Linked DNA regions of Nothobranchius furzeri. The protein of the gene in region 1 interacts with the protein of each later gene in a pairwise test. Links are inferred from orthologs where the notes say so. Each region holds a gene or a part of one and is shown in the gene's direction. Other genes may lie near its edges.

The links. The genes of interacting proteins can lie anywhere in the genome.
Region 2: the proteins of nmi (region 1) and zgc:154055 interact in binary tests that used the Homo sapiens proteins (3 or more experiments, as listed by UniProt). The two-hybrid records come from large-scale screens. The link is inferred for Nothobranchius furzeri from reciprocal best matches to the Homo sapiens genes NMI and MTMR9.
Region 3: the proteins of nmi (region 1) and glycine cleavage system H protein, mitochondrial interact in binary tests that used the Homo sapiens proteins (3 or more experiments, as listed by UniProt). The two-hybrid records come from large-scale screens. The link is inferred for Nothobranchius furzeri from reciprocal best matches to the Homo sapiens genes NMI and GCSH.

What each region holds. Positions count from the first base shown.
Region 1 is NC_091746.1:33,694,328-33,701,829, reverse strand, and holds the start of nmi (N-myc-interactor), read left to right. Parts: upstream 1-2,362; 5' UTR 2,363-2,491; intron 2,492-2,937; coding exon 2,938-3,000; intron 3,001-4,779; coding exon 4,780-4,938; intron 4,939-5,040; coding exon 5,041-5,157; intron 5,158-6,347; coding exon 6,348-6,516; intron 6,517-7,502. Other genes in the region: ubxn4 (UBX domain-containing protein 4), read right to left, coding at 1,181-1,283, 1,708-1,843. UniProt on the Homo sapiens protein: Acts as a signaling pathway regulator involved in innate immune system response.
Region 2 is NC_091758.1:35,744,160-35,751,783, reverse strand, and holds the start of zgc:154055 (myotubularin-related protein 9), read left to right. Parts: upstream 1-3,736; 5' UTR 3,737-4,009; coding exon 4,010-4,194; intron 4,195-4,367; coding exon 4,368-4,424; intron 4,425-4,780; coding exon 4,781-4,889; intron 4,890-5,744; coding exon 5,745-5,870; intron 5,871-7,624. Other genes in the region: protein FAM167B, read right to left, coding at 1,852-2,115, 2,376-2,708. UniProt on the Homo sapiens protein: Acts as an adapter for myotubularin-related phosphatases. Increases lipid phosphatase MTMR6 catalytic activity, specifically towards phosphatidylinositol 3,5-bisphosphate and MTMR6 binding affinity for phosphorylated phosphatidylinositols.
Region 3 is NC_091744.1:70,842,720-70,850,204, reverse strand, and holds glycine cleavage system H protein, mitochondrial, read left to right. Parts: upstream 1-3,597; 5' UTR 3,598-3,637; coding exon 3,638-3,788; intron 3,789-3,956; coding exon 3,957-4,039; intron 4,040-4,131; coding exon 4,132-4,195; intron 4,196-5,536; coding exon 5,537-5,668; intron 5,669-6,678; coding exon 6,679-6,776; 3' UTR 6,777-7,225; downstream 7,226-7,485. UniProt on the Homo sapiens protein: The glycine cleavage system catalyzes the degradation of glycine. The H protein (GCSH) shuttles the methylamine group of glycine from the P protein (GLDC) to the T protein (GCST).

The sequences.
Region 1 (7,502 bases):
AGAAAACTACAACATGGCTCCAAAAGGTTTGTGTTTTATGTTCTGTCCGTTTTATAATCGCCAATACGGACCTGAAAAACAAAGGAGACCGCTAGCTAGGTGATAACTTCTCACGGGGCCGCACATTTAGTAACTTTTTTTAAAGTAAAGCAACCGGAAGGCAGTACGTTTCTTTATTCTGAAAATCTCGGAAGCTTCTCTCCATTTCCGCGTTCGATTTCCTGTCTTTCCTTCCCAAAAATGTCGAACATGTCCCGTTTCAGAGGCGTCGCGCGTAGAAAATAGAACCGGCGCGTAAAGGCTGCGACATGCTGCTCCTGAGACGCGGCCGACTCGCGCTGCTGACGGCTCCAGTGGAAAGCCGGGGTAACTCTGAAGTGCATTTTTTTCCCTCCCCCGACTCTATCCTCATATAAACCCTCTTGATCTATTATTAAGGTAGCGCAACTCGGGTTGCGAATGACCACAGTCACCAATTCTTATGAGTCTATGTATGTACTGTATGTCTAATCTCAGAATTGTGTGTACTGAAACTCTAATTTCCCTCTGGGATCAATTAAGTATCTTTGAATTGAATAGAATTTTGAATCCACAAGGCACTTTGCATTGATTATTTATGGCAGTAAGTGGGTGTGGTGAGGGTGGGATGTGACTAAAATGCAGCTGAGAAACTTTCTCGTCAGTCTCCGATTTATGAAGCGGAGATTGTGTGCAGCTGTGCGTACTCCATGTTTGATAGATCACAAACCTACTTGGCATAAGTACTTTTTTTTTTTTTTTGCTGAACTTAAGTACGGTTTTAGTAAGGATTCTACGCAATGTTTGATAAATGAGACCCCTGCTGATTAAAATCAAATCTGGGAAACAGCTAAAACATGTAGGATGATGGCCCTCAGGGGACCAGGATTCTCCATCTCTGCTCAAGATAATCATGAAACGGATGTATAGGTTACCATGGTAGCATAGACTCAGCTCCACATCACCATGACAGAACTCCAGGTAGAATATAGGTTACCATGGTAGCATAGACTCAGCTCCACATCACCATAACAGAACTCCAGGTAGAACCATCATAGTGGAATATTTAATGGTTTAGTTTAAGTTGATGCCGACCAACAAGTGCCCAAACATGATCTGACTTTGTAGTAAAAGCAGCAAGTCAAACAAACATTGTCCCTACCTGCTGGCGTCCACTTTGATGGCCACACAGCAGCTCTCAGCCGCCTCTGAGACACGCTGGTCCTCCCAGGTAGACATCAGCTGCGCTGACTGCTCATCATCCCCTGAGACACGAGACAAAAATAGTGAAACACGAGACGTGGTGAATCTTTGTATTCTATCACCGAAACAGAATGTTGCAATGGTTAACAGTTAATCTGCTGACATCAGGCTCGGCCCGGACCCTGACCCAGTGCTAAGCCTGATCCCTCAGACCCTGAATCAAGTCTCCTACACCTAGACGTCATCATTCAGCTTCTAGAGGACTTCGGCTGTAGGAAACTCAACAGGTAACAAGGATATGGGTCTGACCCGAACCCAGAGGCTGATTCTGATCTGACTCAAAGGTAGAACCAGATCATGACCCTCCAGTTCTTTGACCGGAAGTTGTTACTGACTGCTGACTTAAGCTAAGGGCTAGTAGCCGTTGCTAGCTTTATGTTAGCACTAAATCCCGTAAATGAACGCGGGAAACCAGGACAACAGTACCTGCGATAACAACCACAAAGATAAAGGTGCGCTGTTTAGCATAGCTGATGGCGTCAGGAATGGAGCCCTGGAACCAACGCATCTCCGACACACGGTTATTCCTGTCAGCTTCACTGTTGATCACACTGGTACGCATGCGCACGCAGTCCTCTTCCTACTGTGGGTCACGCTCGCTGACGCACGTGCGTCTGTCCCTATCTGTAAACTCTATTATTATATTTTTGTCATCTGTTTGTTTTATGTTGTATAAAGAAAGAGCACATCATCACGTCCGCCATGCGGCAAAGTCGCAGTCTGGTTTTGTCCAGATTTATTTTTAGATACCTAACTAATGACTGGCCTCCCAACAGGGTAGTGGCGAAAAAATCACCATCATAATTTACCATAATGTGACTTTCCATAATAACATTATAATTTACCATAATATGACTTTCAATATTTCGAGAAAAAGTATTACTACATTATTAGCTCCATGGCCCCGGTCCGCAGGGGACATGCTTTTTTTTCTGTCCTAAAGCAACGGCCTTTTTCCAAGGATCACTTTTATATCTATTTTAGGCCCTGTGTCCCTAATCACCGTTTCTTTTTCATTTGGCATCAGCTGGACTAGTTTTTCTACTTTTTTCTGCTATATCCATCCGCGCTGTATACTTCCGCCCCACGTCGGTCTTAACTTTCACTTTTGGTTTTGACATTTTACTGTAAACAAGAGTTCTTTTGGACTTTTCAAATCTTTGTTTCTTGTCACATCGGAAGTAATTAAACGAAAACAATAAACACCGAGGTAAGGTGGTTAGAGTAAAAGGGTTCACATTTAAGTTTTATTTTGGCCAGCTTTCTGTTTATTACTATGACGGGGGACTTTTACTTTTGTAATTCTTCTTTTGAAGTTTGGACTTTCGCACTCCAAAACAAATAGTTCATACAGCTCCGAGTCAGTTTCTCTTCGATTAACTGGCATTTATTAATGAATGTTCATCATAGAAATCAAATTGCATTCACTGCTGTCATGGCTTGAAACTGGACCTTTGTATAATGTTTTATAGTACATCAAAGATAAGCTGAATTGGATAATTGGGTTGCAACAAAGTTCTGAGTTCTTCTGTGGAAGTAGCCTCTACATTTTGACTCTAATCTCAACTCTACCTCCTTGCTTCATGTTTTTTTCCTCTGACAGTGAACTAGTGCTTTTTGTTACTAGTTGGTTGCAGTGACATTTGTGTTTTTCAGATGAGTACTGCTGTACAGGAGGACAACTACGAGGAGGCCCTTAAAGAGCTGAAGGCGCTCCGGGTGAGAAACTCCATCCTTCCATCTTTGGCCACTAATCCAGGGTCAGGTTGCAGGGGCAGTAGCATAAGCAGGGTGGCCCAGACATCCCTCTCCCCACTTGGGCCAGCTGTTCCGGGGGAATCCTAAGGCGTTCCCTGGCCAGCTGTGAGACATAGTCTCCAACGTGTCCCGGGTCTTCCTTAAGGTCTCTTCCCAGTTGGACGCGCCCATAAAACCTCACCAGGGAGACATCCAGGAGGCGTCAACTGGATGTCAGAGCTATGCCCAAAACATGGAAGCCTGCTTGTTCGTGTTAAAAAAAGAACGGCATTTAAAGGAGTTAGCGTTAACTAGCTACTAAAGTCAGGATGCACCCACTTTTTTCCAAACCGATACAATACCAGGGTCTGAGTACTTGCTGATAGCGATTACCGATACTTCTACCACACACACAAAAAATGCAATGAATTGGAATACAGGTTTAATTTTCTTCTCTGCTTTCAACAGGAAAATACTGTGAGGTAGATAAAAAACTAAAATAATTGTCAGCGCTGCAGTATCAGCTCACAAGAGACACGGCACCCCCACACTCAGTTATGGTAAACAGTAGTTTCGCCCCTCCTTCCTTTGTTTTGAAAGGAGAAAAACTGACAAACCCCGTAGTCAGCTGGATATGAAATATGGTTCAGTATAACCTTCCTCCCTAAGTGACGGAAACATTAGACTGTTTTTGGATTTTCTCACTGTAAAATTCTTACTACATTCTCGCTACTTTCATCCAAAGCTGAACCAGCTGCAGCTTGACAACAATCCTGCACAAATCGCGGCTGGGCGGTAGAGTCAAAATCTCCTATCGGTGGCTAAGTTTACATCACATGAACAGCAGTTATACGGTGAACCACTATGTGGTATGTTGAATAAAAACAACCCAGGGTGGGACTTCAGGGTCTAAGAGATGAACACAACAATCCCAGGGACACACTATAGAGTCCCGAGGAGAGTCTTTTGAGTCAGATGGTACGATCTCAGGCTCAGATTTCCATGGAAGAAATTCAGAATCTCAAGGAGGAAGTCTTTTGGAGGTTTTAGTCCTTGGGAAAAACCATCAGGGACCTAAAATGACTGAATATAAACTAGTTGAGCTGTGCTGAACACTCATCTGGCTTTACTGTCCAAGGAAAAGATCTCTAGCTCACTCCTAACATGAATGCTGCATGTACATCCAAGCTAATCTGAGACCTTGTTTTATTTGTTAGATCCATGACTGAGTATAATCAGACCTTTGTGGAGTTCAAAAATAGCATTCAGACTGGATGTGCTGTCTGCTGTTTGATGCATTAGAATAATAACAAAAAATTCACATCTGTTAAAGCTAATGCTAATATGACAACATTTTACTGTTGGCACTAAGGAGATGTCATCTGTTTTTAAAAATTAGTCCGTCCTTCGTGTGGCTCATCATTGTCCCAGTCCGTCCCTTACACTCACCCCCCAAACTATCCAGGTAGCGGTTAGCATTTTGGTTTCTCTTGTTTGGGTGGTTTTAATGTTGGAATGGTGCTCATTTGATGAAGTAATTGTTCTGAAAATCCACTCTGGTACTGGCAGAGGTTCAACAAGCAGTCTGGGAAATCGTGGTCACAGACACACTCATCACATTCTGGCTTGGTTTTTGAGAGCTCCAGAAGATACAGTCCAACCATTTCTGCTGTTTTTGATGAGGAACGAGTAATATAATATGTTCAGATGCTCCAAAAGGTTGATTATGCATGAAATAGACCCTAGAAAATTTGTCTTCAGGCTAAAGTAGAGAAAGCTGAAGATACAAAATCCAGGCTTCTGCTGGAAAAACTGGAAGAAGATGAAGCCAAGGGAAAGGCCCAACGGGAGATGATGGAACAGTTGAATAAGCAGAAACTTTGTGAGAAAGAATTCAAGCAGCAGAAGGACAAGCTGCAGGTAGGCAGGACATCGTTTGTCCACAGAACAGGAATTAAAAATACCATCTGCTGGGTGGACGAGGCATTAAATTCAACAACCTTTTTTTTCCCTCTTCTAAAGGATGAAATCGATCAGCTTTCCAGAAAAAAGCAGGATTTACAGGAAAAACTCAGGAAATGTCGGAAACAATTGGAGACAAAGAGAGCTGAATCTACCAAACTGAAAGAGAGATTCAAGGTAATTAAGCCTAACTCTGAACTCAACTTCTTGCACTCTGGTTCTTTTTAGCCACTGTCTAGCATGTTTTAGTTGTTTCTCCGTTCCAACACACCTGATTCTAATTTGGGGGATCATCAGGCTTCATAGCCTGGTGAATAGGGGATTCAACCATTGAATCAGATGTGTTGGAGCAGGGAAACCACTTGGGGCGCTCCAGGACCAGGACTGGAGACCGATGCTACTGGTTTCAGTCTGCAATCGAGACCTATTAGTGGCTTTAACCAGACCATTAACTCATTCTAATCCTGACTTGTTCCAATCTCTAATCCAGACCTTATCCAGGCATTAACTAAATATATGGCTGCCTCTGATCAACGCTCACAAACCAGTAGCATGTTTAGATTTTTTAGCTGCTTTAGCTGCTAACAGTCACCACAGAGAAGACAGGCAGGCAAACATAAAAAACGCTTTAAAGATGAAAAATCAGGAACTAACAGGAGGAAAAATACATGAACAGGGTTGAAGAGGATTTAAAGAGCGAGCTAACACAACAGTAGGATCGGAAAACCGATGAATGAATACTGAATGCTTAAACACTGAGGGATGTGGGAAGCTGACTGAAAAAGAAACAAACGGAACCAAAAACCCACATGCCATGACAGAGAAAGCCATTTTTGCTCCTGTAGCACATTAGAGCATTATCACCCATCCACCAGGTCCAGAGAGGAAATCTAGTCTGCAATTGTAGCGGTCGAAACATCAACTAGATCATCATTACTCAAGCAGGACTAGAGCTCAGGGGTGAATTCACCTACAGATGATACAGCTTTTGTGAGCAAACCTAATTTATCATTCCTGTCTAATTCATTAGGAGCGACTCTCAGATATGCTTCTCAGAGGCGAGAGCTGTTACTGCATTTAGTCTGAAAATGTGACTGCCTCTTTAGGCTCGGTGGTGCATGAGTCTCAACTAGAAAGAAGGTAAAGAAGGTTCTGTTGCCTTCACAACCAGTGAAGTGTCAGAATTCTGTAAATAAACTGAATGCTGAAACGTCCTTAAGTGAAAATAAGAAGAAGCAGGTCTGCAGAGCCCAAAGTTCCTCTTGATGTATAAATGTAATCCTTAATGTGAGTCCTCCAGAGGAGTGGGTTTCGTCTGCATCCATTAGGACCTGCACACTGAGAAACATTTCTGTTTTTCTGCTCAGATTTATGCTCCGATTCCACATACAGAGGTGAAGTTTCTGGCTCCTATGAAAGAGAAAGAATGCACTGATGAAATGAACCACTTGATCAGAGGAGTGTTTACCATCAGCCAGCAAGTTACTTTGCTTCTACAAGGAGGCCAGGCACTTCTCACCTTCGAAGAAGAGAAGGGTACGTAGAAGTTCATCAGTTGTTTCCTGACCTTTGTTGCTGTTAACTAGGTGCATGTGTGAGATTCCTGCAGTAGGCTCGGTTAAGGGTCCCGTCATTATGCTCTTAGACCATAGGCGTCATTTTAACCGGGGACGCCGGGGACATGTCCCCGGCAAAATTTGTGATTGGCAGCTGTGTCCCCCCCACTTTCAAAAACGCCTGCTGATGAGGATTTTTGTTTTACCAGCTCAGATCTTATCCAGGGGTCGGCAACCTATTCCCATCAAAGAGCCATTATTACCCGTTTCCCACAGTAATTCTGGATGGACCTTAATAAGCAGTGACTTAAGTGAAGCAGGCAGGTCGCGCTAGAAAATTTTGTTTAAAAAGACGTCATAAATGTTTTCCCCCGTCATTTTTATTTATAAAATATGAAGTAAAAACTCACAATTTAATTTTCATTCATTTGTCATTAATATGTAGTCTACACCCGTGCGTTAACCATCTTCCAGTAAACGCACAGCATCCAGCCCACCTCTCCAAATGCGTAAAATGTGCATCAGCCGCTAGTTAGGCGCACCATCAGCTGATCAGCCCAGACAAGAGCAGAGCAAATAGAGACAGAATAGAGGATAATTGTGTCTGGATGTGGATGGAGATTACATTTTACAGCAGCCTGATCATCATTTAAATACGTAAACCATCACCTGTCTTCTAGTCCACGCTATCAGCATATATTTTAATTGGTGTGTGTGTGTGTGTGTGTGTGTGTGTGTGTGTTTTCCACTTCAAACACTGGTCTAACCAACCAGACCAGCGTGTCCAGTAACATATTAATGTTACAATTAAACAGTTTCCCTTCATGTAGGCTAGGAACATTTCACCTGCCGTGGCCCGACCGCTTCTGCTCCACACGAACTTTGTGCGTGATCAAATGTCTCTACGCATCATGCGTCTCCATATTAGAGACGGGAACAAGCGCTGTTCAGCCAGTTTCATAATTT
Region 2 (7,624 bases), on another chromosome or scaffold:
CATGGGAGACCCTACCAGGGGCACTAAGTGCCCCAGACAACATAGCTCCTAGGATCATTAGGGCACTCAAACTCCTCCACCACGATAAGGTGACGGTTCAAGGAGGGACAGAAAGATAATAAAGAAATAACAAAAATGTGCTTTCGGTTCATTTAATAATGAGTTTTGCAAACTTTTAACTTCCTGCACCCTCATGAGGTGCATTTTATAACAAACACGGAGATGAAAGGGTCATTTAATCCTTGTGTCTAACGTGCAACATATATTTTTCATCATTGCATGCAAATATACATTTGTGTTACAGTGTTTGTGATCTAAAACTGTACAAAACATTCAGATCTGATGGAAAGTAAAACATATTCATCGTATTGCTTGTTAAACCATAAAAGAAGGATTTCCAGGAGGAACGGTTTTTCCGGAACTGTGCTGCTCTGGGTGGCTGCATGTTGGAGTAGCTCTGTTGACTATATGTAAGTTTTGCCTTTTCTTGGATGTTTTTTCTTCTAGTTTCTCAAGAAAAACTGTATATTTTTGGACACTTTACTTTTTTGTTTTTGGTGCTGTGAAGCTTGGAGGATTTTTGCTGCTATTTTTTTTAGCTTTTTTCACTTTTTGAGCATTTGTTATGATGCATAACCATGGCAACAAGCTGATTTGCAATCGGGAGCAGCTGAAAGGCTGAAATAATACCTCAACTGAAGCCACAAATCCCAAATGAGCTAAAACGCAAGAAGCGTGGGTGCAGAGCGGGAGCAAAACGGAGACAGAGAAAGAGGAAATTCAAACCATCTCTTCCATCGATCATAATGGGCAATGTGAGATCACTGGCCAACAAGATGGAGGAACTCCAAGCCCTTTCAAGGACTCAGCCAGAGTTTCGGCAGTTTCGGAACCGCTGGAGGAGATAAAGCAAAGAAGGATTCTCCAGAGAATCAAGAAAATGATGGACAACCCTGAGCATTCTCTTCACAAGACTGTCCGACAACGGAAGAGTGTCTTCAGTCAGAGGCTTCTTCAGTTCTGCTGCAACACTGACCGCTACTGGAGATCCTTCCTGCCAACAGCCATTGTAATATACAACAACTCTATGATGACTTGATTATTATTATTATTCTGAGCTACTACAGCAATCAATTTCCCTCTGGGATTAATAAAGTATTTTTGAATTTGAATTGAATTGAAAACAAATTACTTATGCCTGTCATTGTCCCCCAAGCTCCAGAAAGCATTTGGTCACTTTCCAGCCTTATGTAACTGCTGCTCTGCAGCATCTAGACGTGCCGCTGGGAAACAAAACAGCCTCCTGTGTCTGCTCACTGTCGTGCTGAGGCCATAAAGATATTTGTGGTTTGTTAAGGAGAGGTGCAAAAACTGTTTGTGCTTCCTGGATGAAGGAATTCTGTTTATTTTAAAGATTCTATGAACTTAAAAAAAATCTGATGCCAAAAGGCCCAACGTATGAAGTCTTTGACATCATCAAAGCAACTTGCTAGAAACAAAACTGCTTGGAAACAATTTGAAATGCGAATATTTTGCTTTAAAAAGGCACTTTTCCTTCCTGTTTGCAGCTCTTATCACGTGATTGCTTTCAAATTGGGGTCACAACCCATCTAACTGCTTGTAAAATCTGAAAATGTGCATTGCATCCTTTCCAACTCCTCTCTGCGCCCCTTTGGCACAATCAAAATGTTGTTATTGCATCAACAGATCACACAACTTCTAAGTTAATTGGAATAATGTGCATTCTGTTCCACATCAGTCGTGGTTTTCGGAGTAAACTCAGATTCAGCAGGAAGCTCTGACGGTCCCAACGGTGTGCACAGGCTTTAGTTTTCTAACCAGGAAACAGTTTCAGCACAGTGAGAAACGTCTGGAGTTGATGTTCATCTTGGTGAGGCCCAGGTGTTTCAGAGGAGTGGACAGGGCGAAGGCGGCCTTCATGGGGATGTCACACAGCAGGTCCGACTCCTCTTCGCACTCCTCCAGCTCGTAGGTGGCGTCGTCCAGCATCTCCTTGTGGCGGTGGCACACCTGCTCCACCTTCAGCCGGTGGATCTCCACACGCAGACGGATCAGCTGACGGGCCAGGCGGTTGTCCTGGACTTGCATCTCCCTCTGAGAGAGAAGAAAGAAAGAAGAACGTTAGTAGGAAGGAACTCTGAAGGGTTTTATCTCATCTTCTTATCAAATATCTGGCGGAGTGAGCTGCAAGCTGAGACTGGGAGGAAGCAGTTATCAGATGTTTCACAAACTCTAGTCTGAGTCATCCTGGATTAATCAGATCATCCATCCTTTCTGAATGAAACTGAAATAAAATGCATTCTTGTTTAGACGGTGACAGATTATAAATGCATTCGTGACCAGGGGGAACTCACGAGCTCTTTCCTCAGAAACTCCAGAGCATCATCAATGGTATCAAAGCCGCAGATGTTGCGCACAGCCAGGTCCGAGTTCTCGCTTCTCAGAGCTGCAGGGACAGAGAAGACGTCTCCTCCAGAGTCGGGACTGTCCTCTGGGTTCCTGTCCGTCCACGGGTGACTCTGGAGTCGCTCCTGCCACTCCAGATAGGACGGTCTGCGCGTCTGCAGCTTCAGCTTCTCCGTCAGCGCTTTGACGCTGTCCAGGTCCTCCGCGTCTCCCTCCGAGCTGTCAGCTCCAAACTCCTGGAAATCCTTCTTCGCAACAGGAGAAAAAGCTTCACGGTTCATGTTGGAGCCGCTCTTTGCTGCGCAACAGGTCCATGAAGCCGTCTTAACAGGGAGAAGTGGAGTGGCCGCCCATCCCGCGGAGGATGGGAGGGGTGGATGATTTAAGAGAGAGAGAGAGAGAGAGAGAGAGAGAGAGAGAGAGAGAGAGAGAGAGAGAGAGAGAGAGAGAGAGAGAGAGAGAGAGAGAGAGAGAGAGAGAGAGAGAGAGAGAGAGAGAGAGAGAGAGAGAGAGAGAGAGAGAGAGAGAGAGAGAGAGAGAGAGAGAGAGAGAGAGAATGCCTAGAATGCTGCACATAATGTTTTTTTTCTATGTTAAATAGTTCACTGTTTTTGAAGTGGGGTTCTGAGGAAAAGTTATGATCAATAATCGATTTCATAGAAAAGCCTCAGTTTAATGAAAAAATATGAAAGAAAAAATGCGCCAATTCTCTCATGTGCTCCAATTGTTTTTGTTTTAATGGCGTTTAAATAGGTTTTAGTTGTTTTAAGCTTGGTGAAGCTTAACAACTTTTAGAGGTTTTTAACAGACGAGGGACCAGAGTGCTGGTTTCCTCTTGGCTCCCAAACTTGTGTGGACTTTGTGTGTGAATGCTTGGGAGCATTCGGATGTCTGTTTTAAACATAAAACCATGGCCTTTTAAACACTGTTTTACGTACTTTTAGATTTGGAGCTTTTTGTCATTTTAAAATCCTTTTAATAAAATCATTGTTTACAATTTTAACACCTGAAGCACACGCCTCTGTGTTACTCTCCGTCCTTCTCCTTATCCACCAATAGAGGACGTTACAATTTTATTTGCATAAACATTTTAAATTGTGTTTAAATGTGTGACATAAAATTACGCTTCATAAAAAAGTTGGTTATTTCTAGGATGGACCGCACAGCTGTTTTGACCACGTGCTCATGCCGCCACCTAGCGGTGATTAAATATGTTGCACACACGCTGCTGCCTGTCCGCTGAACAAATTTTGCCGTTAAAATGAGATCAGACCTCTTGACTCTCAGAGGAAACGCGCACTTCCGTCTTTTGTCACCTCAGCCAGATCATTTTTCTACTTCCACAGCTGCCTGGTGTTCAGCTGGCTGCTGCTGCTGAAACTCAGAAACTTTCTGCGATGATCAGAGAAACATGAAGCGTAAATCTATTTATAGGCTCCTTATCGTGGTGAAGCAAACAGAGCGCTGTCCAACCAGCTCGGGGCGCGTAAGAGGAAGCTTACTTTCATTTTCCCAATCAAAAGGCGAGGAGGGGATTTTTGGTGACAAGGTTTAAAATTAAAAGTCACGAAAGCAGGCGCTGATGGAGTTTTCTGAGCACATCAAGACAGCCAACGTGGAGGATGTTGAGCTCCGGCAGCCGCTGCACCCACCGAGCAGAGGGACCCTCTGCATCACCGGACACCACCTGCTGTTTTCGGACAGGGAGGTGGGCAGCTCCAGGCACGTGCTCTTGCTGCTCAGGAACATTGATGCCATTGAGAAGAGGTGAGGAAGGAGAGGAGGACAGAAAGTCATCATTTTAATTTCTCATTAAACTTCAGATTTCCACAACTTTAAATCAGCTTTTTGCTATGAAATGATTTAACATTTCCCAAAACAAATGAAACCCAATCTGTGACTCTATGTGTAATTTAATCCCTGAAATCTTTTTGAACCAGTGTGGAAAACCTTTTGGGCTATTCCGGCTTCCTCTCTAAAGCAGGCCAGAGTGAAAGGTTAGGACATTGTTGGTGTTGCTGTTTGCTGCTGCTGCCCACAGTGCTGAAGAAGGATGTTTGCTAAAATGATTGCAGCAACTTTTTCTCCCATAACACAAGCTTTTGCATTGCTTGCTGCTGCTTTCCGTCATGTGAAAGCCCTGCTCAGACTCCTCTATGCCTGCCAGTGACAAAAGAGAAAGCAGTTGTTGCACATGCAGTTTGTGGGGATAAGAACGTCCCCTTCCACAGACTGCTGGCTACGTTTGCCTTCCTCTTCGACAAGTTGAGTCTCCTGCACTGCTAAAGCATTGTCCAAAAACAAGGATGTAATTTTCTCTGAAAATCCAAAGTACTGTTTTGTTTTTGTGCAGGATAGCAGCCTCCTCGGGGACCATTACCATCAAGTGCAAAGATCTGCGCGTGCTTCAGCTTGACATCCCAGGCATGGAGCAGTGCCTCAACATTGCACACTCCATTGAGGTATAATGGGTGGTGTTCATCTCGCTGATCAAGCAACTTTTGGATTAGTTCAAAGGTTCAAGCCCCTTTCTTCAGGCTTTCCCCCTTAAGCCACACCTCCAAAACACAGGGATGCAAAATACTTATTCTCGAGGATCCAGAATTGGTTTCAACCCATTGTTGTTAGGTTTTCTCACCATAATTTCTAATGTGATGTGCATGATCATGTGACATTTATTAGGTAGCATAGTGTGTGACATTTTTATGTTTCTTGGTTAATTCTTCATAAACACAGCAGCTCTGTGCCACCAACGGTGTGGGAAGACCCCACAACAGCTCAAAACATTCAGAACCCAACTTGAACCTCCTCAGATGTGCTCTCCTCTCAGATGCCCCCCCCCCCCCCCCCCGACACACACACTCATACACACGCCCAATGACACACTGACAGCTCTGACAGCTGAACATGGACAGGCTGTGTTCACAGACAACAGGTCCGTCACCTTAACGTTTCCCTTTACAAACGACAAACATTCAGTCCGTTACACCAGCTGGCTCTGGTTCAGCTGCTCCAAGCTACAAATGTGTGATTTGTTTCTAAAAGGGGTGTGTGCAGAGGGGTAGAGATGGTCAGAGGGCAGTTTGTTGGATGGATTATGTTCCAGTCATAAAGAAAATGGGATGTTCACAATGACTGGATGAGATTTTCACAGGACAGTACATTTGAAAGGCAAATAAAATCATTCCTTTTGTCGACAAACATTGAATTTATTGAGTGGCATCGGCATGTTTAGAGAATTTTAAGCAATATGTTTAAAAATGCTCCAACTTTGTGCCAACTGCCAACTAACTACCTCTCTTCGTGACTTTCCGTAGACCCTGTCCAGTCTGGACAACGTGTCGGAGATGTATCCTTTCTTCTACAGACCTATTGACCTCAGCCTGCAGGACCAGTGGGACCTTTCCTCACCCGAAGAACACTACAGGCAAAAGACGGAGCTTGTAAGCAACACTTTTCATATTTCTAACATACAGGGATGGGCTTTTTGAATAGACGTATACATTCAACACTCCATATGACAATCCAGCCATCCTATGACAGGAAAATGGCAGGGCGGTTGACTTTAGAGGTCACTAACCAGGATATCCCGGTTGCTTAGCTTTCATTTGTTTTTCCTTAACATCAGAATGTGCTGCACAGCTTGAATTCATATCTTCTGGGGATAGGGGTTGCTATGGTGAGGGGTTGGGTCCTACAGAGGGCATTGTTTTATAGTCTTAAAAAGGCGGGGCGAACGTTCTTGTCTTGAGCTTCGGGGAAAGTCTGATGGAGTTTGCATGGCTACATATTTCTGCTTTGCCTGTTTTTGTTACTAAACGGGGATTTCAGTCTCAGATTAACTTTACTGATCCCTCTGGAAAGGCCCTCTGAGAAATTGTGTTTTCCAGCAGGAGCAGCAGCCACACATATCTAACAGTAGCATGATTGCGTGTAGGATGGAGGAGTTCCTGTAGGTCCTTGACTTTGGCAGAAGCAGCGTGTCACTGACCAGCCTTCTTTGGTTGTTGATCATGGTGTGAAGTTGGTGCCTGGTGTCGTCTCGAATGGACAATCATTTTTTTTAGCGTTCTCTGCTCAGCCACATTCTTTAGAGTCTGGTTTTGAGCCAACCACAGATGTGACCCTCAGCTTCTTCTGCCTGGGTGCATCCTTGTTTTTGTGTCACACCTCCAGCCCATACCGCATGAAAGATTAGGGATGAGGATCAATTTGGGAAGTTTGGAGTTTAATTATTAATTACTTCTGCAAATTGCAAACTGTGACATTTACTTGTTCTCCACAAAACTCTACAAAGAGTGATTTAGTTTGCAAAATTATATTTCAGGCTTACAGTTGTCAAATTTAACGTGCCTTAGTGTTCAGAGGTCATTATTTTCTATAGGATGGCCTTAAATGCTTTGTTTTAAGTCACTGTGTGTTTGAGAGCTCATTCTGTGCTCTGATTGGCTGTTTGGTAGATCAGAAGCTAGGGAGCACAGGACAGCTGTTAAATGACTTTACTATCCAAACTAGTCGTTATGTGCTCATGGCGGTGTAACAGAAACAAGCCTGGTTTGTAAACAAAGATGTTTGAAGAACTTCAGGAAATTTTGCCAGGTGCAGACTGTTAAGTCTTGGATCTTATCAACAATGACACGTCAAACCACAGAGATGAGGTTTGCAAACTGTCCACATAGAGCAGCAGCAGTCTCAATTCTCAATCTCAATCTTGGGAATGTGAAGGAGGCTTGTTGATTTGAGACGAACATCCAGAATCTTCCACTGAGCATTACTTGTGCCTCTGAGGAAAGATTGAACAGCACCAAACTCCTGGATGTGGATCTTCCCAGTCCACCCAGTAACCACCGGTAGAGCCCTGCACGGGCCTAAAATCTGAGCCCGTTTCCGGCCCGGCCCGAGGGGGTGGAGCCCCAGCCCGACCCGGCCCGAAAAGGTTTTCAGGATTCTCTGGCCCGGCCCGAGCCCGACTTTTTTTTAAACAACTAAATGAAAACAAAGTGCGTCAATTCTGACCAATGTGTTAAAAGACGTGCAGGATCCGATCAATTTGTTTTTCCCTCGTTTACCGTCACGGAGATAACTGGCACCGCACTGGCTCTGGTGTAAATCAAGTTAAATTTTACCTCTTTCCAACAATTTTCACAAGAAAACAAAACAGTCAAGAGCAGGGTTTGTGTTGTGTTGACTGGATAGT
Region 3 (7,485 bases), on another chromosome or scaffold:
ATTGTGAAAGTTCTCCCTCCTTGAAAAGATGAGTGGACTGCTGTAATTTTCATCACGATTCACTTCAACTGAGAGGCAGAAAGTAAAAAAAAAAAATCCTGGAAATCAAATTGAATTGAAAGATTTTTTTTATACTTGGTGAAGAAAAATATTTGGACAAAAGTTCACCTCAATAGTTAGTAAAGTAACCGTGGTTGGCAATGATGGCGGTCAAATGTTTCCTGTCTTCACCAGGTTTGCACACACTAGCTGGTATTTTGGCCCATTCTTCCTTGCAGATCTCTGGAGTTGTGATGCTTTGGGGCTGTCGCTGGGCAACGCAGACTTTCAACTCCCTCCACGGATTATCTGTTGGATTGAGGCCTGGAGACTGGCTAGGCCACTCCAGAACCTTGAAATGCTTTTAATTCAGCAATTTCTTTGCTCAGGCGGTGTGTTAGGGATCCTTTTCATGCTGGAAGATCCAGCCACATTTCATCTTCACTGATGGAAGGAGGCTTTTGCCCAAAATCTACATGGCCCCATTGGTCCTTTCCTTAATTAACATGGATCAGTCGTACTGTCCCCTTTGTTTATGTTTATGTTTATTTATTTGGCAGACGCTTTTATCCAAAGCGACTTACAATTTATAACCTATAGGGCATGCTGTGATCTGTGGGGGAAACCAGAGTACCCGGAGGAAACCCACGCATGCATGGGGAGAACACACAACTCCACACAGAAAGGCCACAGCTGAGTTTCAAACCTGCAACCTTCGTGCTGCGAGGCAACAGTGCTAACAACTGCGCCACCATGCAGCCTTTGGAGAGAAGTATGTTTCCACCCCCATGCTTCACAGTGGGAATGGTGTTCTTGCAGCTAGCTTCTCTCACCAAACCCTCTGTCGGGATTCTTGGTGTGGCCTTTGACCCACTCTGGATTCCCATGTCAGTTCTCTTGTTTGCTCTTCTTTCATCTCAGGAACATTTCTTAACTAAGTCGCGTTCTGAACTTGAGATTGTTATCAACACCTTCATTTCCTCATGCGTGGACTTTTGCAACTCGCTTTTCACTTGCCTGAGAAAAACTTCCCTGAACCGTTTACAGGTGGTTCTGCATCCCTGTGCTCTGCTTCTGACAGAGTTTTCCGAACACACCCACGTCATCCCGCTCCTCTTCCAGCCTCAAGATCATTTGTACCCCACGAAGTGAGATCTTGCATGTAGTTCCAGGTCGAGGGAGACTGTCAGTGATCTTGTGTTTATTCCATTTTATCCAACAGTTGATGTCTTCTCACCAAGCTGATTGACTATTGGCTCATCCCAGTTTTAGTCTCACAGCCCAGGTGTAAAATCCTGTCTCTGGTGTTCATAGACAGCTCTCTGGTCTTGGTAAGAAAGGTTTATTTATATAGCATTTATCACAGAAAGGAAAATCACAAAGATCAACAAAATAAACAGTAAAGTCATAAAATCATGAAATGATCATAAAGTCCAAAAAACATATATCAAAAAACAAATGAAAGATAATTAAAATCAGAAAAGCACATTTTAAAACAAAATGTTAAATAAAATGGTCATAAATCAAAACTACAACACATAAAACAAATAAAAGATGATTAATCAGATAAGGCCATTGTACAAATGAAGAAAACAAATAAAAGGGTCTTCAGCTGCTCTATAAAGGTGTCCAGTCTGTCAACACAACATAAAAATAAAAGATCACTCCAAAGTAGAGGATGAACAGTGTGAAAGAGCAATCGCCTTGACTTTTATATCGGGTCTTTGGAACTTCTGGGAGGTTCTGGTGTGTGGACCTGAGGGCTCGGGTTGGAGCAGAAGGCTTTAACAGTTCAGTAATGTAGGGAGGAGCTTGACCATGTAGAGCATTGAAAGTTATAATCAGGATTCTAAAATGAACTCTAAAGTTAACGGGTAACCAGTGCAGAGACATCAGAATAGGAGTGATGTGTGCTCTTCTGTTTGCTCCAGTTAGGAGCCTCTCTGCAGAGTTCTGGACCAACTGAAGGTAGTCAATGGCTTTTTTCATCTGGAATGTGTTACAGTAATCTAGATGGAAGGAGATAAAGGCATGGATGACCATTTCAAGTTCATGCTTTGACACCAGCGTTCGCAGTTTGGAGACATTTCTCAAATGATAAAAACAGTTTCGGACCAATGTTTTTGAGTGGCTTTAAGGAACAATGATCGGTCAAAAACAACACCCAAGTTCTTCAAGTTTGACTTGACCGCAGAAGTTACATGACCAATTTGTTGACTGATTTTAGCCATGGTGGAGGTTGGCGTGTGAATGTTTGAACATCTGATCAGGTGCCTTTTTTATAGCTAACGAGTGGAGGACTGAGAAACTTCCTGAAGAAGTAACAGGTCTGTGAGGGCCAGAACTATTGCTTGTTTGTAGATGCTTGATACTTATTTTCTGCAGAACATAAATATTTTAAAAATCATACAGTGATTTCCTAGAATTTTTTTATTGCATTCAGTATTTCACAGTTGAAGTGCGCCTATGTTGCAAATTACAGATCTCTCATATTTTAAGTGGAACGACTTGCATAACTGGTTGCTGCCAAATGCTACTTTTTTCCCCACTGTGTAACATTCTCAATCATCCAGATCATGGTGCATTAAAGAAATCAGCCTTCCTTTCTTGGTTCTTAAAGCTGTTTCAGTATTATTTAAAAAGGCTTCTTAAGTTCTGCTAGATCTGCTGATGACTGGCAAGATTTGGACTACTTTAGTAAAAAATCTTCTGCGTACATCCCTCTTGAGATTTTTTTTAAATTACCAGCAGAAAAAAGCAAATTCAAGTGACAACAAAGCATAAATGTGACAGAGAAGGGTCTGTGCAATGGAGATCTTGCTGCAAGGCAAACGTTTATCAACATCCTTTGAAAGAATCTGCAAAGAAATGACAATAAAAAGTACAAAACTAACAAGATTAATATTAGCTTGCTTGATTTGATTTATTCAACAAAATAATTCAGATATTTAAATTTAAATAATGATCTCAGACAGTCAAAATGAAAAATCCCTTCAAAGTAAAGACAACACCCTAGTTCATCCCAACTTCTTTGGGAAGAGGAAGTATTTTTTTAAATTCAGGCTGCTATATTACCCATAAAATTTTAAATACATGTTCCTTTGAATTTTAGCCCACTTATAAATAGTTTTACATATGTTGAATCATATGTTTTATTTAATTCTCTTCTCTTAATTATGTGAAAAGACAAATCCATTGCAATCAATAGTTTCTGGTCAATGTGCCTGCTTCTGAGTGCTAAAAGATTGTTTTAAGTCCTTTGTCTTTATATCTAACTGTCTTTATCTCATTTTGATCTTGTTTGTTTTTATTTTCTGTTTTTCTTTGGTATAAAGCTACTTATGTGTCTGCTGCTGCTGCCTCTTGGCCAGATCGTCGTTGTAAATGAGAATGAATTCTCAATCGACTCATCTGGCTAAATGAAGGTTACATAAAATAAATAAAACAAACGAATAAAAATGTGTTTTCACGTTCAGGAGGAAGTCCCCGTTCGCTTGTCGTGCCTAACTTTGACCAGTAGGTGGGAGCAAAACGCCGCTGCTGTTTCCAACAGCAACACAGAACAAATCGACCTTCTTCTCATCAGTAAGCGACAGAGATGGCCGTCTGTGTGCTGCTCCGTTCTTTCTCTTCCAACTTTTCCACAGTTTTGCCTTTACTCACTCGCTCGGCATCGCGTTGTCCGTTACAGCTGGCCCCTAAGCCTTATTTTGGAAGAACGCTAGCCTCTTCTAGCCGAATATCAGCAGGTATTTCTCTATGAATCGGTTTTAGAGTAGCTTCTGCTAACACGTTGGTTAGCAGAAGGTTACCGTTAGCCAAATGGAAAGACGCTTCATTTGGCGGCGCTGCTGCGGGTAGTGGTGTGTTTCAATGACTTTTGCACAGATCTCTGACCGAGTTGTGTTGTTTCGCAGCACTTAAATTCACAGACAAGCATGAATGGATTCGAGTAGAAGATGACGGAGTAGGTACAGTCGGTATCAGCAACTTTGCACAAGTAAGTTTCCCAACTGCGCGCGTGCACAGTTAGATAAACGTGCTAAAGTACATGTTTTAGTTACCTTTGATCTTGTTTTTGACCGCGCGCAGGAGGCTCTGGGAGATGTAGTTTACTGTGGACTACCAGAGGTGGGAACACAGCTGGCACAGCAAGGTATGAAGTGTCCCTCGTGGGTTTGCTGGCTCTCACAGAGCCCTTTTCATATTAAAACAATAAAATCCTTCATTTGTTTGAATGCTGTTGCATTATCCAGTTATATTTGAGATGTTTGCATCGACAACACGAAAACTAATTTTCAATGTTCTACATTCACCGATTCAGATTTTCAGAGCCATTTGTGTGTGTGTGTGTGTGTGTGTGTGTGTGTGTGTGTGTGTGTGTGTGTGTGTGTGTGTGTGTGTGTGTGTGTGTGTGTGTGTATTCTCTGCTGAACTACATTTAGGCCACTTCTGTTTAATCTCTATAACTAAAATTAATCCAGACTCCCCACCACTTCAAAATTCATTTTAAGATTATGATTCTGAAAGTATAAACAGCCGCATGAAAAATCTGTTTACACTCTTTGGTGCAAATGGGGGAAAAAGCTAAATCCTCTGTGCCGTACATAGGTGTGTATTGGCACGAATCTAGAGATATGATATATCAGGGAGATGATGTGACATAGTGTGATACTCAAATCCAGATGATATTTGCAAAATTTTAGCCTGAAATTAATTGGAAACCCCAGGCCAGGCTCTTCCAAGACACATCCGGTGTAATGGTGAGATCTCCTGTCAGGATGAAGGATGTAAAAACGGAATAATTTAAATGAATACTGTAAATTTTCAATAACAGTCGATGCACTGCTTCACGAATATCGAGTCAGTATCACAACATATTGCTATATTTCTGTGTATTGATATTTTCTTACACTCCTATCGTTTGATTTTTTTATTAATGAAAAGGTTAGATTTAAAATTCATCTCTAGCTTTGACATTATTTAATCATAGATTAAAATATACACTTTTGTGTCATTTTATTTACAGTTATGAGATTTTTCAAGGCAAGAGCCAGTTTTTATTTAACAGGAAACTGTCCATAAATTAAGGTGTATGTAGGTGGTGTTTCTTTTTCTGCCATAATAAAAATTGCAACCAATCAATCAGACAAACAGTAGTTGAATTTGCCATTAGAATTAATTTTTATTGTTGTGTTGTTATAAATGCTTATTTGATCTTCGGTAAAAATCAACAATACTGTACTGTAAACAAATATTTCTAAGTTGTTTTTGTTTTCAGGTTTTGTGATATAATTGACATCGAAGTCTTGTGATAAATGGCTCATGTTTGTAAATATTTACAGAGCTGCTTTGACCTCATAATGCAACCTTATTGAGTGTGTTTCATTTCCAAAATGACTCATTTTTGGTGTAAATCCTGTGGTATCGTTTGGATTGTTAAGTGCAATACAAATAAAGCTGATGATAAATATTTTTGTTTGTCACACTGTCATAGATGAGTTTGGAGCCCTGGAAAGTGTGAAAGCAGCCAGTGAGCTTTATTCACCTTTGACTGGAGAAGTTGTAGAGGTCAACACGTTGCTGGCGGACAACCCTGGTCTGGTCAACAAGTCTTGCTACAAAGATGGTAATTTTGTACACATTATTCAGTTTATTTAGCTCATTTAGGTCTTTGAAAATGGTAAGTTTTTAAAGTGGTGATGCACCGATATGAAATTTTGGGTCGATACAGATATTTAGATCACTGTTATGACCGATAACCAATAATTGCCGATACTGATTGCTTCTAAAATCGGCAGATTTGTGTAAAAAATGATTAAAGCTGAATTTACCATTTTATGTACACACACCACACACAGTTATGCTCCTGAGATGATTTCATTCACTGCTCACATGACTAAACAAATGCACATCACCCCCCTCACCCTCTGAAACAGGGAAACAAATGTAGACAAGATGGAAAAAATATTGGTCGTTAATATCGGCTCGGTTTTATTTATCAGACCGATACAGATATGATAAAAATACAGATATCGATGCCGATATATTCCCAATTTTAAAGTAATAATCTGTGTGTTAATGGGTAGATTTTAAATTGTAGAAAAGAATAATGTTTTTTTGTTTGCACAGTTTTGCAAATTTTTTATTTACAACCATTGTTCTTCTGAAATGGACCAACTAAACAAGAATGGAAATTTGACAGAGCTTATGAGAAACTACTGATAACTGGTGTAAATTTGCAAGTTGCACTAATTAATCCTCATATTCACACCTGATTATTTTCTATTTATATAAATAACTGCTTAAGTTGTTGTTTTCATATGTATCCAGTTAAAGTATTGACACAAACAATTCAACAATTCTGTTTCCCAACTTTATTTTCATGAGCTCTCAGGTTCCAAGGTTGGACAGTAGGTGGCAGTACAGTTTAAGCCTGAGGCTAGGTTCCGCAGCTCCTGATCCACGTGGATGTCATCACGCTAAGCATCTACAGAGATTCTTGTGCCTCTCCTTATGATTGTATTTTTAAACTCGCTTAAGTACTAAAGCCCTCACAGACCTTCATCAGCAGCACGTCACTGATCAGTTCAAGCATGTTTGCCTTTGAATCCCAGCTAACCCTGGCTTTCCTCACAGGCTGGCTGATGAAGATGACAATTGCTAATCCTGCTGAGCTTGACAGTCTGATGGATGAACCAGCATATGAAAGATACATCCGCTCCATTGAGGAGTAGCCCTTCATCTCTTAATATGTGCAATGCTTCTTCTCCATTTCCAGCACCGTTGTGAGGGAGCTGCACTAGATGTGCCTCGGTTACATCACATTGCAGCAGTTGATCTTTACATCCTCTGGCTGCTGATCTGCTTTTGTTTTAGAGTCGTGAACTTTAGAAAACAATGTATTTACCCACTGTTAAAAGGCTGATGTAAAGGGATCCATCAGTCTGCACTGATTAAACAAAATCAAGACTTCTTTCAGCTTCCAATCCACAAACAGATGAGAAGGAAACTCAGTAGAATTTGCTCTGAAGCATTTTAAAGGTTGGAAAACACAAAATTCTGTTCTAGTACACTGTTAGACCTAAACAAGCACTTTGATCCTTATGGTATGATTAATTATGGCATTCAAAACTATGGATATGGGACCTGTATAATAGAAAATAAACATTTCCTTACACTTTCAGTTTTCTCTGGATTTTGTTTCCCAAATCTTACTCTTAAAAATGTAGGCAACACGTTACCGTTCATCATGTGAGGTTCTTTACTGGGTCACAGCCAGCTGGTGCTCACACACAACCCTGGACCTAGAATGTAACAGATAATCACTTCCTCTAAAAGATTTGAGCCTTGGAAAACAAAATGTAATGATTTGCGACCACAGAGAACGGTGACGTCTGATGGTTACAGAACCTGCTGTAGCCCTCCAAGTCTGTTCTGGCTTCA